Rhinolophus ferrumequinum: one gene and its partner. The protein of the gene in region 1 interacts with the protein of each later gene in a pairwise test. Links are inferred from orthologs where the notes say so. Each region holds a gene or a part of one and is shown on either strand. Other genes may lie near its edges.

Region 1 (6,969 bases):
CGGCCATCGTCCTCGGGGCCCCAGCTGGCACTGTAGATGTGAATGTGCTGCGGCTGCAGGCTCAGCGACTGGGCCTCGATGACATCGGTGATGGTGCCATCCAGCATTCGCACGCCTGCACAGGTGGGTGTTGGGCCTCGGCGGACAGCCCCGCCTGCACCACAACCCATCCAGGCCAGCTCCAGCCACCCTGGCAGGGCCCTCTCCCCACCACCAGGGAGTCGTCTGTGCTGGGGGGGTGGCGCGCTCAGCTCTCCCCACCCTGAGTCTGGGGCCTCTGCATTGTCCAGTGGCAAGGGTGTGGCCGTGAGAGGCTTCCTCCCCTGGTTGATCTGCCAACTCTCCCTGGCATTGTCAGCCACCCAGCGCCACCCAGTCCAGCCTCTGTCCTGGCGCGCCTCTGTACCTCCAATTCGGGCATTGTAGGCGACGCCTATACCGCAGAACCTGTTGTTAGCAATGGCTGCCACTTCCCCAGCACAGCGGGTTCCATGCCTGGCCCCAAGGCAGAAAGGGGTTCCCGTCAAGGCCCCCTGATCCCCAAAGGGCACAAGGGCCACCCCCAGGCCCTATGGGATGCTGGGCTCACCGATTCTCCTCACTGGGTGTGTATCGTGGCTGGGGGTCCGGGTCATAGTCGTTAAAGTCATAGCTGGCCAAGGGGTCCTGGGGGTGGGGTGGGGATGTGAAGGGGGTGGGGTAGTCTGTGGGACAGAGGCAGACCCCCCTTCCCAACCTGTCCCTCCAGGGGCTCACGTAGTTGGCCCAGAGATCCGGGTGGTCCTTCTCGATGCCGTCATCCAGGATGGAGACCACGATGCCCTGGCCTGACAACCCCTGGCTCCAGACCTGCAGGATGTTCAGGTCCGGCTGGACCTGGTTGTTCTGTGCCAAGTGGGGCTGGAGTCAGTGGGGATCCAGCACAACCCCAACCAATCGCCTGGCCCAGCCCGCTTACCATATACCACTGCTTGGAGAACCAGGGGTCCGTGGGCACCATTAAGGAGCGCTTCACCCGCCACCGCAGCGTCTGCTGCTCAAACCACTGCACCTGAAGGGGGACACACGCCAAGGCAGGGGCTGGACCCATCTATCTTGCCTTACACCCATGCACTTTAGAGGGTCCTGTCCCACGGACCAAGAGGACATGCCCCTCTGAGCCCTTCCTGCCAATTCCTAGTCAAAAGGCTTGTGTCTAGGGTCTGCCCGGGCTGCTTCCCAGGGTCTGCTAAGGAGCAATTGTCAATGGGGCTGTGGTTGGTGTGGGACGTGTGTCTGGGTTGCGACTGCTTGTCCTGGGACTTTGTGTTTGCTGGGGCTGATCTTCAGGGTCCCCATGTGCCTGGGGCTCTGTCTTCAGAGGGGGCCAAGGCCCTTGGAGCCCCCATTCCCAGGGCCCACGGACACATGGCCACTTCCCAGGGACCTGTCCTCTCCCCTGCAGTGGCCAGTTCTCTCTACCACCCCCGTTACCGTGCAGGACACCCTTGCATACCCACTTCCTCCCTGGTCCTCCAGCTGTACCCCTGCCTCAATAAACCACTCTTAGCACACAGCAGCAGTGCTTTCTGTCAAAATCCTCCCGTGGCTCCCTACCGCCCTCTCCAGGGCCCACAATGCCCTTCCTATCTGTCCCCCACCAGCCTCTCTACGCTGCTGCCACAGTGGCTGCCCCACCTGGGCCTTTGCACATATTGTTCTGCCTCCCTGGGGCTGCTGCTCCTCCTTTCTTGTTGATCTCCCACCTGCCCCTCAAACCGATTCCTGTCTCCCCCACCCCCATCTAAGCAATCAGGGCCATCATCTCCCCATTTGCTCTGCTCCAATCTTGGGAGCTGGCCCTGATTTCTCTCCCTCAGTCACATGCACCTAATCCATCGGCAAGCCCGGCCTCTCTCTTGCAAATATCTCCAAGTGGCCACTTCTCTCTGTAGCCAGTTCTCCGGGTGGGTTTCGAACAGTCAAGCTTCTTGCCTCCTTGCTGATCAGCCCCCCAACCCAGCCCATACCTCTTTGTGGCTCCCAAGGACTTGCTAGACTCAGTTTCAAATCCTCAGCTTGGCTTCTAAGGCCTTTTCCCTATCTGTCATCTTTCTGAGCATCTGGAGACCCGGTTCTGGTGCCAATTCAGTCACAGCCTTATTGAGTGACTTCAGACAGGATTCCTCCTCTTTGGAATTGTTCCTTCCATCACAAAACTGGCCAATTCCCCCTCGTCTACCCCATGAGCTAGCATGTTATCTGCCTCTCTTTATGGGGCACCTTGATCTGTCAGGATGAAACAAAGGAGGGAGGGAGGGAGCGTGGGGGGCAGGGGTTTGCAACAAGAATTATATTTTGTGCCAGGCCCTGGGGTGAGCACCGAGCCCATGCTTAATCATTTGCTTTCCACAGATGTTCCCCATCTGAATCCCCACTGTATAGACTGGGGGGCCAGGTGGAGACCATGACTCAGAGCAGGTAACTTGTGAAAGGTCACAGCCATTCATAACAATCACAAGAATAACAGGAGGTGGCTGAGACCACAAGTGGGCAGCCCCGAAGCCAGGCTCACCTTGGGGTCTTTCTTCAGGCGCAGGCGGTGGCCCCAGTGCGGGGTCAGGGACTGCTGGACCACGCCCCGGTGCCGCAGGTGGAAGTAGCGCCCATCTGGGAAGATCTGAGAATGTGGGGGAGCAGTAGCTTCGCTAGGGCCGGCTCCCCGATGGAGCCCCCGCAGGACAGGGACCAGCCCCTTTGCTTGCTTCCTCCCCCAACCAGGTGGCCACTTGGAGGCTATGAGTGCCCTCTGCGGGTCCTAGAATCTGAAGTTGGTCGAAGAAGGGATGGACTGGAGGTTCTTGAGGGTACCTGGGGGCCCCCCCCCTCCTGTCAGTCGGGGCCTGGGGTCTTGGGTTGTCTCGCCCCCGCCCCCTTCCCGTCCATCCGGATCCCACCCACCTGTCCCAGGTTGACGAAGCCGAATTTGCGGGCTAAGCGCTCGGCCTCCCGGTAACCCTGGGACACTCGCACGGCCCAGCTGCTGACATAGATGGGGACCCGGGCCGAAGCCCACCCCACAGCCAGGAAACAAACGAGGACCAGGCTCAGGGTCAAAGCCAGGCGCAACCAGAGAACAGTCCAGGCGGGCCGCATGGCGATGGGGGCGGGGTCGGGGTCTACAAATATCCCTCCCCCTGGCCAAACCGCCGAATTGGTCCAAGAGCCCGCCCCGCCCCCGGCGCCATAGCAACCCCTGAAAGGCTTCAACTCCCAGGGGGCCTTGCGGCTCCCCATTCAGGGGCTCAAGGATCCGACAGAAATGGGCGGGGGAACACACGCTTTCCCTGGTCTTTTGCAGACCCAAACCCTCTGGAGTCTCCCCATTTGTACAATAACCCAATTCTTCCGACCCAGAGGAGCGGGTTCACTGTTACTATGATTGACCCGCCCCTTTATTTAGCCCCGCCCGCTTTTCTACATACTCCTCCCACTAAAACAATATCAGCCCTGCCTCCTCTCCAGCCCAACCAGAATCGTTCTTTCGAGTAAGTCCCGCCTCTTCAATTTAGCTCCGCCCTTCAGATTCCGTCCCGCCTCCTTTATGACCAGCCCCGCCCCTCCTCTGATTCTTGCCAATGAATCTCTTCCCGTTTCTCCAATCAGCTCGGGCTTTTCTCAGGCCCCACCCACCAGTTCCGCCCACCCCAGCACGCTTCGCTCCTCCCCAGCTCCACCCACACAAAGGCTCAGCCAATAATCCAAGGCTATGACCCCGCCCCTCCAATCAGCTACGTCCCTCTCCCGCTCGGCCAATTGGCGCCCTCGGCCGTCGCGCCCTGCCTCCTACCTCTGGAGTCGCGGCTGCGGCGGCCGCGGCGGGCCAGAGGGCAATGCGACGGGGGAGAAGGGGCAGGCCCCACCTCCTTTGTCCGCCCTGCCCTCCCATTGGCCGGTGCGAGGGTCAGGGGGTGGAGACCAGCCCCGGGGCGGAGACCAGCCCCGGGGCTGAGCGGTGCGGCTCGCTTCGGGGGAAGACAGCGCGCGCTCCGCAGGGTCGGTGCGCCGGGCTGCGGTCGAGCTCGGGTTGCCAGCCCCGGGACGGCCGGTACCATGGACGGCCTGCGCCAGCGCTTCGAGCGCCTTCTGGAACAGAGGAACTTGGCCACCGAAGCGCTAGAGGTGCTCGAAGCCAAGACCGGTGTCGACAAGCGGTACTTGGCCGCGGGTGAGCCGTCGGGGGCGCTCGGGGCCGCCGCCCCATTTCACCGATGGGCACACTGAGGCAACCCTGGGCACCCTGGGGCAACCGGGCCTCAGACCTGCCCCACTCCAGCTGGCCCAAGCTGCGGGGTCCGGACTGGACGGCGGGGCGTGCCCCGCTGTACCGCGGGGGGTAGACCTAGATCATGGCGGGGGAGGGGTCGTAGATCTGGACCACGGTGTGCTACAGGTCCTCTCCTGCCCCCGCCGTGCGACCTCAGGCGAGAGCCCCCCCTTTCTCAGCCCCCGCAGCACGCCCATTCTGGCCCTCGGGTCTGGAGGCCCGTCCTCTGCCCCCTCCCTCAGGGCTTTGGGTGCCTGCCAGGCCGAAGTCCGGTTCTTCCAGTTGCCCTGCCGTCCCCCGGGGAGAAGGGGGCAGGAAGGCAGCCAGTGCCCTGAGTCTGGCCACCCCTGTCCCTGATGGACCCCAGCCTGAAAGCAAGTGTAGAGATCTCGGTTTTCCGAAGGGATGCCCCCTGCCAGGAGGGAAAGGTCACGTCCACCTTCCCTCCCATTGTTTTCCTGCTAGTACCCTCCTTGGCCTGCCCTCTCCCCTGGTGGCCCAAGGGCTTTGACCCACTCTGCGTGAATAGTTGAGTTGAATAGTTGAGTTGGAGTTCGGTTGTTTGACAGCTGTGTTCATTTTGGAGAAAGCTTGGATGGGGACCCAGGAAGAAGGGGGTCCAGCCACATCTGACTGTAACTTCCATTCCAGTCCCTCCTCTTCCTTTCCTCCTCAATGGCCTGGTGTGGCTCCTGCCACTTTCTAAAACTGTCCAGTAAACACCCATTAAATGCCTTCCTTCCCTGTTTTGCAGTGTACCAGTCCCACCCACTTTGTCACCTCTCCCAGGAAACCCCCCTGGAATGAATCAAAGATGCTGGGGTGGGAGTGGTGGGGAAGGCTTTAAGTGAGGACAATGACAGATGTTTTGAGCACCTTCCATTTGTAGATCCTGGGAATCCACTTTCATCCCATTTCCCCATCAATCAGGGCATCCCCATGCCAAGCAGCTCAAGGAAGATTCGATATCTGTCCCCCCCAGATTCCTAGTGCCAAACCCATGTCAGCTCAGCCGAGGACTTGCCCCTGGGAGCCAGCCATTGACCTCCTGCCTGGCTTTCCACATCCCTGCTACCAATGGGTGGGGGATTTAGGTCACAGTGCACTGGGGAGGGGCCCACCAGGGAGGCTAGTGGTTACAGGGAGGAAACTAAGGCCCAGAGAGGCAGGGGCTGTTGGGAGGTTGCCCCTACCACCTGACCTGACTGGAATATCCACCCCTCCCCCGACCCCTCCTACCCTGAGCCCCATCTGTTGCTGATCTCAGGTTGTGCCCCCGCCAAGTCCAAGGTCATCCTCCCATTGCTGAGGCTGCAGGAATAGGGATTGAGGGGAGGGGTGCCCTGGGAGAGCCGCTGCTCCCCCTCTAGTGATTTCTAGAGAAGGGGTGACATTTCCCCACCCCCTCACCCACATGTGGGAACCCTTGGACCCCACCTGCCCCAAATGGCCAAATCCCCCTTCCCAAGTAATAGGAAACCCAGAGGCGCCAGCTGGGGAGGACCCCCTCCCACTCCTGACCCCAGACTGCGATAGATACTAATGCAGGTGGAGGGAAGGGTGTGGGTGACTCTGCCCTTTGGTCCATGAGTGGCCTCTCTCTCTCTCTCTCTCTCTCTGTCTCTCTCTCTCTGTCTCTCTCTCTCTCTCTTTGCAGATAACAGCCTCAGGGGAAGAGGCGGGAGGCTGTAAATGCTCCCAAATGACCCTGGGCAAGTTCCTCTCGCCCTGCTTCCTTCTCTCATTGCCTGAGACAGAACAGGGAAGCACAGAGCCCCATACATAAGAAGTACTTAATAAATGTGACAGTTACCATTGTTTTCAGAGTGACTAGTGCTCCTGGCTGCCCCCACTCCCACACTATTCTCCTCTGAGCCTTATTGGTGTTTCTGTGACCAGAGGCCCTCAGTAATGTGTGGAAAGGACGAGTCTTCTGTGTTGAATGTATTTAGCTAAACCCACAACCCTAAGAGGCAGGGCCACTACCACCCCATTGACAGATGGGGAAACTGAGTCTCCAAGCTCAGTGTCACATGGTAAGTGAGTGGAGGAGCAGAGGGCTCTCCAAGGTCTGGGGGCTCTAGACTGCCCTTTGCTGCCTCCCACTAAGACAAGGGGTCTCAAACGGGACCATGCGCTACCTCAGGACACTTGGCAGTGTCTGGTGACATTTCCGGTTGTCACAATTAGGGGGTTCTCCTGGCATCAAGTGGGCATCAAGTGGGACCCAGAGTGAGGTGATTATAATTGCAGATGATCACTTATTCATTCAACAAACATTGAGTGGGCAGCTACTCTGTACCCACCAGGGCGGAGCTCCCCACTTACCTTTGGGGACCTCGCAGTCCCATGCGGGAGATGGATCTGTTAACTGATTATAGACATAAGACTCAGGGCTCAGGGCCACAGAGGAGTCACCCAGGAGTTGCAGGGGAATGTGTCCTGGAGGGGTCGCTGAGTCTTGTAGGGAGAGTAACAATGGTGGACTGTATCTGCCAGGCCAAGAGGAGGCCCAGGGGCTTGTGGGCCAGGCACGGAGTGAGCCAGACTCCCACCCACGCCCTCTTTTCTGCAGGAGCCGCCACTCTGCTAAGCCTGTATCTTCTGTTCGGTTACGGGGCGTCTCTACTGTGCAATCTCATTGGCTTTGTGTACCCCGCATA
Region 2 (7,231 bases), on another chromosome or scaffold:
AAAGTTAAAAAAAAAAAGTCAACCCTAATGCAAACTATGAACTTTTGATAATTATGATAATTATGATGTTGATGTAGGTTCATCAGTTGTAACAAATGTACCACTTGGGTGGGGGTGCTGACAATGGGGGAGACTGTACGTGTGTGTGGGGGGTGGGTATTTGGGGAATGTCTCTACCCTCCTCTTAAGTTTTCTGTGAACCTAAAAGTGCTTTTTAAAAGTTACCTTTTTAAAAACAAGTTCTGAAGATGGATGGTGGTGATAGTTACCATTGTGAATATATACTTAACGACACTGAACTGTACACTTAAAAATGGTTAAAATGGTCAATTTTATGTCATGTATATTTTACAACAAAAAATAAAATTAAGTTAAATTAAAAATGGGCAAAGGACGTGAATAGACATTTCTGCAAAGAAGGTACACAAATGGCCATCAAGCACATGAAAAGCTGCTCCGCGTCATTAGTCATCAAGGAAATGCAAATCAAAACCACCGTGAGGTACAACCTCACACCCACTGTGCTGGTCATAAATTCTTTTTTTAAATGGAAATAACAAGTGTTGGGAAAGATATGAAGAAACGGAAACTCTCATACATTGCTGATGGGGATGTAAAATGGTGTAGCTGCTATTTCACCCCCAGGCAGATGCACAAAAGAATTGAAAACAGGTATTCAAACAAAACCGTGTACAGGAATACTCACGGCAGCATTATCCACAATAGTCAAAAGGTAGAAATAACCCAAATGCCCATCAACTGATGAATGGATAAACAAAAGGTCGTGCAGCCACATGACAGAATATTATTTGGCCAGAAAAAGGAACGAAGCACTGATACCTGCTACAACGTGGATGAACCTTGAAAACCTTATGCTCAGTGAGAGGAGCCAGACATAAAGGGACACATATCTTATGGTTCCAATTACATGAAATTTCGAGACTAGGCAAATCTATAGAGACAGAGAGCTGATTAGTGGTTGCCAGGGACTGGAAGGAGTGGGGACTGAGACTGCTAATAGGTATGGGGTTTATTTTAGGGGTTGCCAAAAAATGTCCTGGAAGTTTATAATGGTGATGGTTGCACAATATTTTGAATGTACTAAATGCCACTAAATTGTATATTTTGTGAATTATATCTCAGTTAAAAAAAAAAAGCAAATCAGGCATCTCATGTATGCCCTGTTAGGACACAGCAGGAGGGGGCCACACAGTGTCACACGAAATCTGTGACTATTCCTTTTCCTAGTGGAGACTTTGCAGCTGTGTTCTAACCCAAAACGCAGCTGCAAAGTCTCCACTAGGCCCAGGACGAGATCTGGGAAGTAGACACGCACGTGCCAATACACTGGAATCACATGGACCAGACAGAAAGGGAGAGACTTCGTCTGAGTGACACTTCCTCATTCAATTTCAGAAATAACAGCAGCCAAGAGAGCAAAACCAATTGCCTTAAAAAAAATGCAGAATATGATCCACTTTATGTTAAAAGAAAAAAATTCACACACACACACACACACACACACACACACACACACACACACACCTGGAAAAAATTCTTCACACTTTTTCAAGGATAAAGAACACTATAAATGGTTATCCCTGACTGATGGAAATTAGGAGTTTTTTCTCCTTTTGCTACTCTGAATTTTCTAACATTTTAAGAACTAACACCAACTGCCTAAAAAAGAAAACAAGTAATTTTCAAAAACAAAGAACCCAGTTGCCAGAAATAGCCTCCACTGACTGGTCTGTGTTATTTATAACCAGGAATTCTGGTAACTAATGTTTCCATAACACCTTTTCCATTTCCAAAAAACACATTTCCCACACGCATCACACAATTCATTCTCACAAAAGCCCTGTGCAGCAGAGAATTGGACTGCTGAGTTATGCAGATGGGGAAACTGAGGCCAGAGGCTTGCCCAAGGGTGCCTGACCCCCGCCCCATGCAAGATCCTGGCTCGCTGTTCTTCCAGGGCCCTGGCTCTGGATGCTTACGGACATAGAGACCTTGGTAGAGTCTCACTTGCCAGACGTAGCAAATAAAAACACAAGATACCCAGTTAAACTTGAATTTCAGCTAAACAGCAAGTGATTGTTTAGTATAACTATGTCCTAAATATTGCAGACTTGTAATACATCCCAAATATTACACAGGTCATACTGAAACTAAAAAAAAAATCACTCACTCATTGTTTGTCTAAAATTCCCATTTAACTGGGCATTTTCTATTCTATCTGGCAATGCCAGCTGCCTGGTCTTCTGGCCACGTCAGGAGGCCTGAGTCAATCCTTGGTCTCTGCTGTGGGCGATGGCAGCTGTAGCCAGGGCCCAGGGAGAGGCCCAGGTGAGCTTCCCGGGCCCCATAATTCCCTGGGTTAACCCTTCCCCTGGAGGTATGGAGACTATCCCAGAACTGTCTATGCCTCCGTCCTCACCAGGCCCACCCAGAAGCAGCTCTGGCCTGCCCAGGGCGAGGACCTGATTACCTGATTTATGGGGGCCCCATAAACCTCAGGGCAAATGTGTCCTCAGGAAGAGAGGCCTGCCCCACTCAGTAACAACACCCAGATGTCATGCTGCGTGCCTGCGTTTCTATTTAACAAGACATATGCCGGCTCAGGCAAAGGCTACAGAATGAGCCCCTAATACAGACTGATGATGGTGATGACGACGATGAAAGGACAGGACACACAAGCTGGGTCCCTACTGGGTGCCAGACCCTGGACAAGGCACTTTTCTATTATCTCCTTTTTCTCCTTACAAAAACCCTCCTGTTTTACGGATGGGGAAACTGAGGCCCAGAAAGGTTAAATAACAGGCTCCAAGTCACACAGCCCCTTGACGCCCTCAGCTGATATGCCCTGGGTGCCAGTACTGTTCCAAGAGCAAGGACCAGGGTAACAATGGGCAAATTCTTTACTTCCCTGGAGTTTATGTTCTGACTGGGAGCAAGGCTGAGAGATAATAAATCAAAAAGAAGTAGTACCCTGTGACGTTGCAATCATTGCTGGCTCTTTCTCGTTGCTGTCGCCTCCAGGAAACACATGTCTCCATGGCACAGAGAGCTTCATTCTCAGAGATCTATTCCACCTCCCTGGGCGGGGAGGGGGTGGTGGTGTGGGTGGAGCATGCATCCCAGAATCATGTTTATTTTACCAACAGTCACATGATGCTCCAGTCACACGATGCTTTCCCAACAACCCTGTGAGGTAAGTACTATATTTCCAGTTTTAAGATGTAGCAATTGAGGCCCAGAGAGGTTAAGCAAGGTGCCAAAGCTCACACAGCTAGTAATGGTAGCAGAGTCACTGAACCCAGGCTGCCTGGCTGCAAGTCCATATTTTGCTGCCATGCCGTGGAGATCTTCAAGCCTTCTAAATCACCCAGACCCGTATCTTTCGGGCTTTTGAACCTCAGAACCTTTCCCCTCAATGCAGCCTCTGTAGAGCCCCAACATACAAAACAGAAACAAGCAGTTCTGTGTGATTTGAAGCAAGCCCCCGTCTGAAAGGGAATAGTCTACCAATGTGTTTCAGCCCAGGCCAGGTCTCCACACAGGTTCCTCCTCTCGCTCAGGGCACCCACAAGGCCCTCTGTTTCTTACACCTTTGTCTCTCCAGGTGCCCCGGACATGGGAGCTACCTTCTCATGCAACTTTCAAAGGGACTTCCTTGTCTGGGGTTTTCTCCCAGGCGCACCCCTGCTGGGCTGTTTCTGTGTTTCCTGGAATTTGAACCTGAACACCAGTGTTTGTTCACCAGTTCTAGGTTGCCTGGCACCAGCTGCTGAACTTGGTTCAAGGCCTGTTTCTCTTCCAGCCAGAAGAAGGGCAGGCCCGGGGCTGCAAAGCAAGTCTGAGGAAGCCTGAATTGCCCAATGTCCAGAGGGTCTGATCAGGGCTTGGGGTGGGGAGTGGGGCAGTCAGGCTCCTTTGCTTTGAGGCAATGACTCTGAGTCTGGCACGAAGTCTACACCAAAGTCCCCTTCTTGGTTCCTTCCTGGTGGCAGGACCTCGGTCAGCCTCTCCTTCCAGACTCCCCTGTTTTCTCAGCTGTCCTGCCATCTCCTAGTGTGGCCATGACAACGAGATAAACTCCTGAGGAGAAGCAGCATGGCAGCATGCCTGGCACATAGTAAGGCTTCAGTTGTTCATAACTATTATTATTGTTGCGTTGCTGTTGTTTTTTAAGCTCCCCTTCCACGAAAAACAAAACCCCACAAGACCTATGAACGTGCGCCCATGTGTTTCTGGAATCACAGTTCTGATCTGTTAGCAGCAGTCACAGCTCTGTGATAAGAAAATCGTCCTACCAAGCAAATGTACTCATGGATCAAACCACCAAGCATCTCCCACCTGAGGTCCTAACTTGGTTTCCGCAGTCCAGAGAGGTGTCGCGATCCTCCCCGAAGCCTCTGTGACCACTCCACTCCACCCACAGGGGCCTCCCTGCTGATCCAGCACCGTCCTGCCTCAGGGTCTTTGCACTGGCCATTCCGCCTGACGGGACCACTGTCACCCCAGGTATCAGACATGGCTTCCTCCCTCCTTGGAGTCTTTGCTGAAATGCCGCCTTCTCAACCAGCCCCACCCTAACCACCTTCTCAGAGATGATAGCCCCCTCCCTCACCCTCTTGACACCACTCCCTGATTTTCTGTACCACTTGTCACCTTCTAATGAATGACAGTATGCTTGTTATTCCTTATCTGTGTCCCCAGCTACACTGTCAGTTCTGGGAAGTCAGGGCTCGTTGTCTGTTGCTCACAGATATGTCCCAGGTGCCCAGCAAAGGCCTGGCACATGAATAAAGAGAAGGCAGTCTGGGGGGAGGGGACAGAACCCTGACATTCCCTCCACTCCCGCTTCCTGCACCCCGGCCCCAAGGGTCCTGACCTGGGAGCATCATTAGGAGACCTTGTTATCTGGAGAGTTCCCCATCCCCACTCCCCCCCACACACACACACACACAAAGGTGAATTATGCTGCTTCCTCTTTCACCTACCCACCTTCTGGGATGAGGCTGTCTCCCCCTCAACCACTTCCCTGCGCCCCCTCTTCCACCCCGCTCTCCTTCTTGGGGGCACTGAAATGTGGAAGAAACACCTGGGAAACCCACCGGGGAAGAGGCCTCTAAGACTGCCTCTCCCTCCTCGCTTACACAGTCAGGGCCAAATGCTCATTACCAGGCCTCCTGCCTTCTGAACCAACAGCATGCTCTCTCTAAAACCATAATTTAAAAACAAAACTGTGATTACTCCAAGCCAAAGACAATAGATCATTTTTTTGGGTCCTTCTTAATAATAACAATAGCCATAATAAATGCGTAGCCAGGCTCTATCAGCGTGTATATGACTCATTTAATCCTCACAAGAACACTGTAAGGTAGACAGTGTTTGCCCCATTTTACAGATGAGGAAACTGAGACACAGAGTAGTTAAGTATCTTGCCCAAGGTCACACAGTGAGTGTGAAGCCAAGATCAGAATCCAGATAGGCTCTCTCTACAGTTAGTGTGCTTACCCATATTCTATCCTTTTAACCTGAGTAGGAATTATTATATAATCCCCATTTTAATAATGGTAAAGCAACCGAGACCCAAGGTTTTGCCGCTTGGAAGTGTCAGAATCGGCATTTGAACCTAAGACAGGACTGCAAATTAAGGGCCTATTCTCATTCACGTAGCTGCGGTCCCCATTCATGTACATATGCACATGGTGCACACTGACCAAGCTAGACAACACAAAAAGTCCCCGGGCAGAAAGGCCAGCGCTGTGGAAGAGCTTTGGCAAAGGGCTGAGGAACATCCCCACCTCTGAAGCCTTCGAGTAACAAAAAAGGAAGTGGAAGAGGAGAAAGGAGAAGTGAACCGGGGACCCGACTCATTTCTAAAACGCGCTGAAGTATTTCCCAGCATCGTAAGCAGGTTGAGAAACAAAGCAGAAATAAAGTCCTGTGTGGTCATCAGATGTAGGGTGCCCTGCTGGGGAGCAAAGGGTCCTTCTGTACCCCCAGAAGCACACCTTGAAGAACTCCTCCCTAGGCCATTCCCAGCAGCAATCAAGGTGTTTGAGAAGTGCCTGCTTTATTGCCAGGTTATCCTTGTACCTGAGCGGATGGGAGATCCCCCAGAACCTTGCTGCTGACAGCCCCATGGGGGGACAACACAAACAGCTATGCAGAAGAAGCTGACAAGTACACTGTGAAAAACCGCTCAGTAAGTCCCTCTGCCGCGGAAGGAGGAAGAAATAGCCGGTATGTCTGCAGATGGAAAGCAGGCTGCAAAATCCTCAAGGGCAAAGGGATGAGAAGTACAAATCGCCAGGTGTAGAACAGTCACGGGGATGTAACATATAGCACAGGAAATAGTAATACTGTCATAACGATGGAGGGTGTCAGGTGGGTACTAGACTTACCGGGGGATCACTTCGTAAGGTATATAAATGTCTGATCACTATGCTGTACACCTGAAACTAATATAATGTTGTTTGTCAACTGTAAGTGAAAAATAATTTTTTTTAAAAAAGCAGTAGCGAACAATCGAGATTGTATGTTAACATCTACAGCAGCGTTTCACTGAAGGTCACACCAAACATGAAACCATAGGATTGGGTTATGACCGGCTACCTTTGTTTGTAGATGGGCTGGGCTGGGCTGGGCTGGGCAGGAACGGAATGAAAATAGGAATAGAATAGGAATAGAACAGAACAGACAAACCCTGACTGCATTCCTTGTAAGTATCACTGCATAAAACTTCTGTTTAGTTATATGTCAGTGTCCGTGTGTCCTGGGTTACAACACAAAATCAATTTTTCACCGTGGCTTGGAGCTAAAAACGTTTGAAAACCCTTGATATGGAAAACATCTAAAAGAAAGAAAGGACCCAAACAGCCCAGGGAGGCTCCCTCTGAAGAAAAGGGGCAAGAACTTTACTTTATACAACTTTGTATTCTTTGGGTTTAAAACAAAACAAAACAAAACAAAAAAACAACAATGAGCATGTATGTATTGCGTTTACAATAAAATAAAGACCTTTTTAAACCTTTTAGAAAAAATAAACACCCCTGCCTTGTCTCCAGGAGAGAGGCTGTGCTTTCTGAGCTGTCAACAAGTTTTTGATGTGAAAAAGACCAAATCCTTGCCCCAGGGGCTCTGCCTCCCAGCGGGCTTCCAGGACTCCCTGGTTTGTTTCCACACGTCCTTCCCTTCCCCTCCAGAAAGTCACAGGATC

Evidence for each region.
Region 2: the proteins of REEP6 (region 1) and LITAF interact in binary tests that used the Homo sapiens proteins (3 or more experiments, as listed by UniProt). The two-hybrid records come from large-scale screens. The link is inferred for Rhinolophus ferrumequinum from reciprocal best matches to the Homo sapiens genes REEP6 and LITAF.

Annotation. Positions count from the first base shown.
Region 1 is NC_046301.1:61,580,583-61,587,551, reverse strand, and holds the start of REEP6 (receptor expression-enhancing protein 6), read left to right. Parts: upstream 1-3,965; 5' UTR 3,966-4,092; coding exon 4,093-4,207; intron 4,208-6,881; coding exon 6,882-6,969. UniProt on the Homo sapiens protein: Required for correct function and survival of retinal photoreceptors. Required for retinal development.
Region 2 is NW_022680357.1:10,966,832-10,974,062, forward strand, and holds the start of LITAF (lipopolysaccharide-induced tumor necrosis factor-alpha factor), read right to left. Parts: upstream 3,013-7,231; 5' UTR 3,011-3,012; coding exon 2,992-3,010; intron 1-2,991.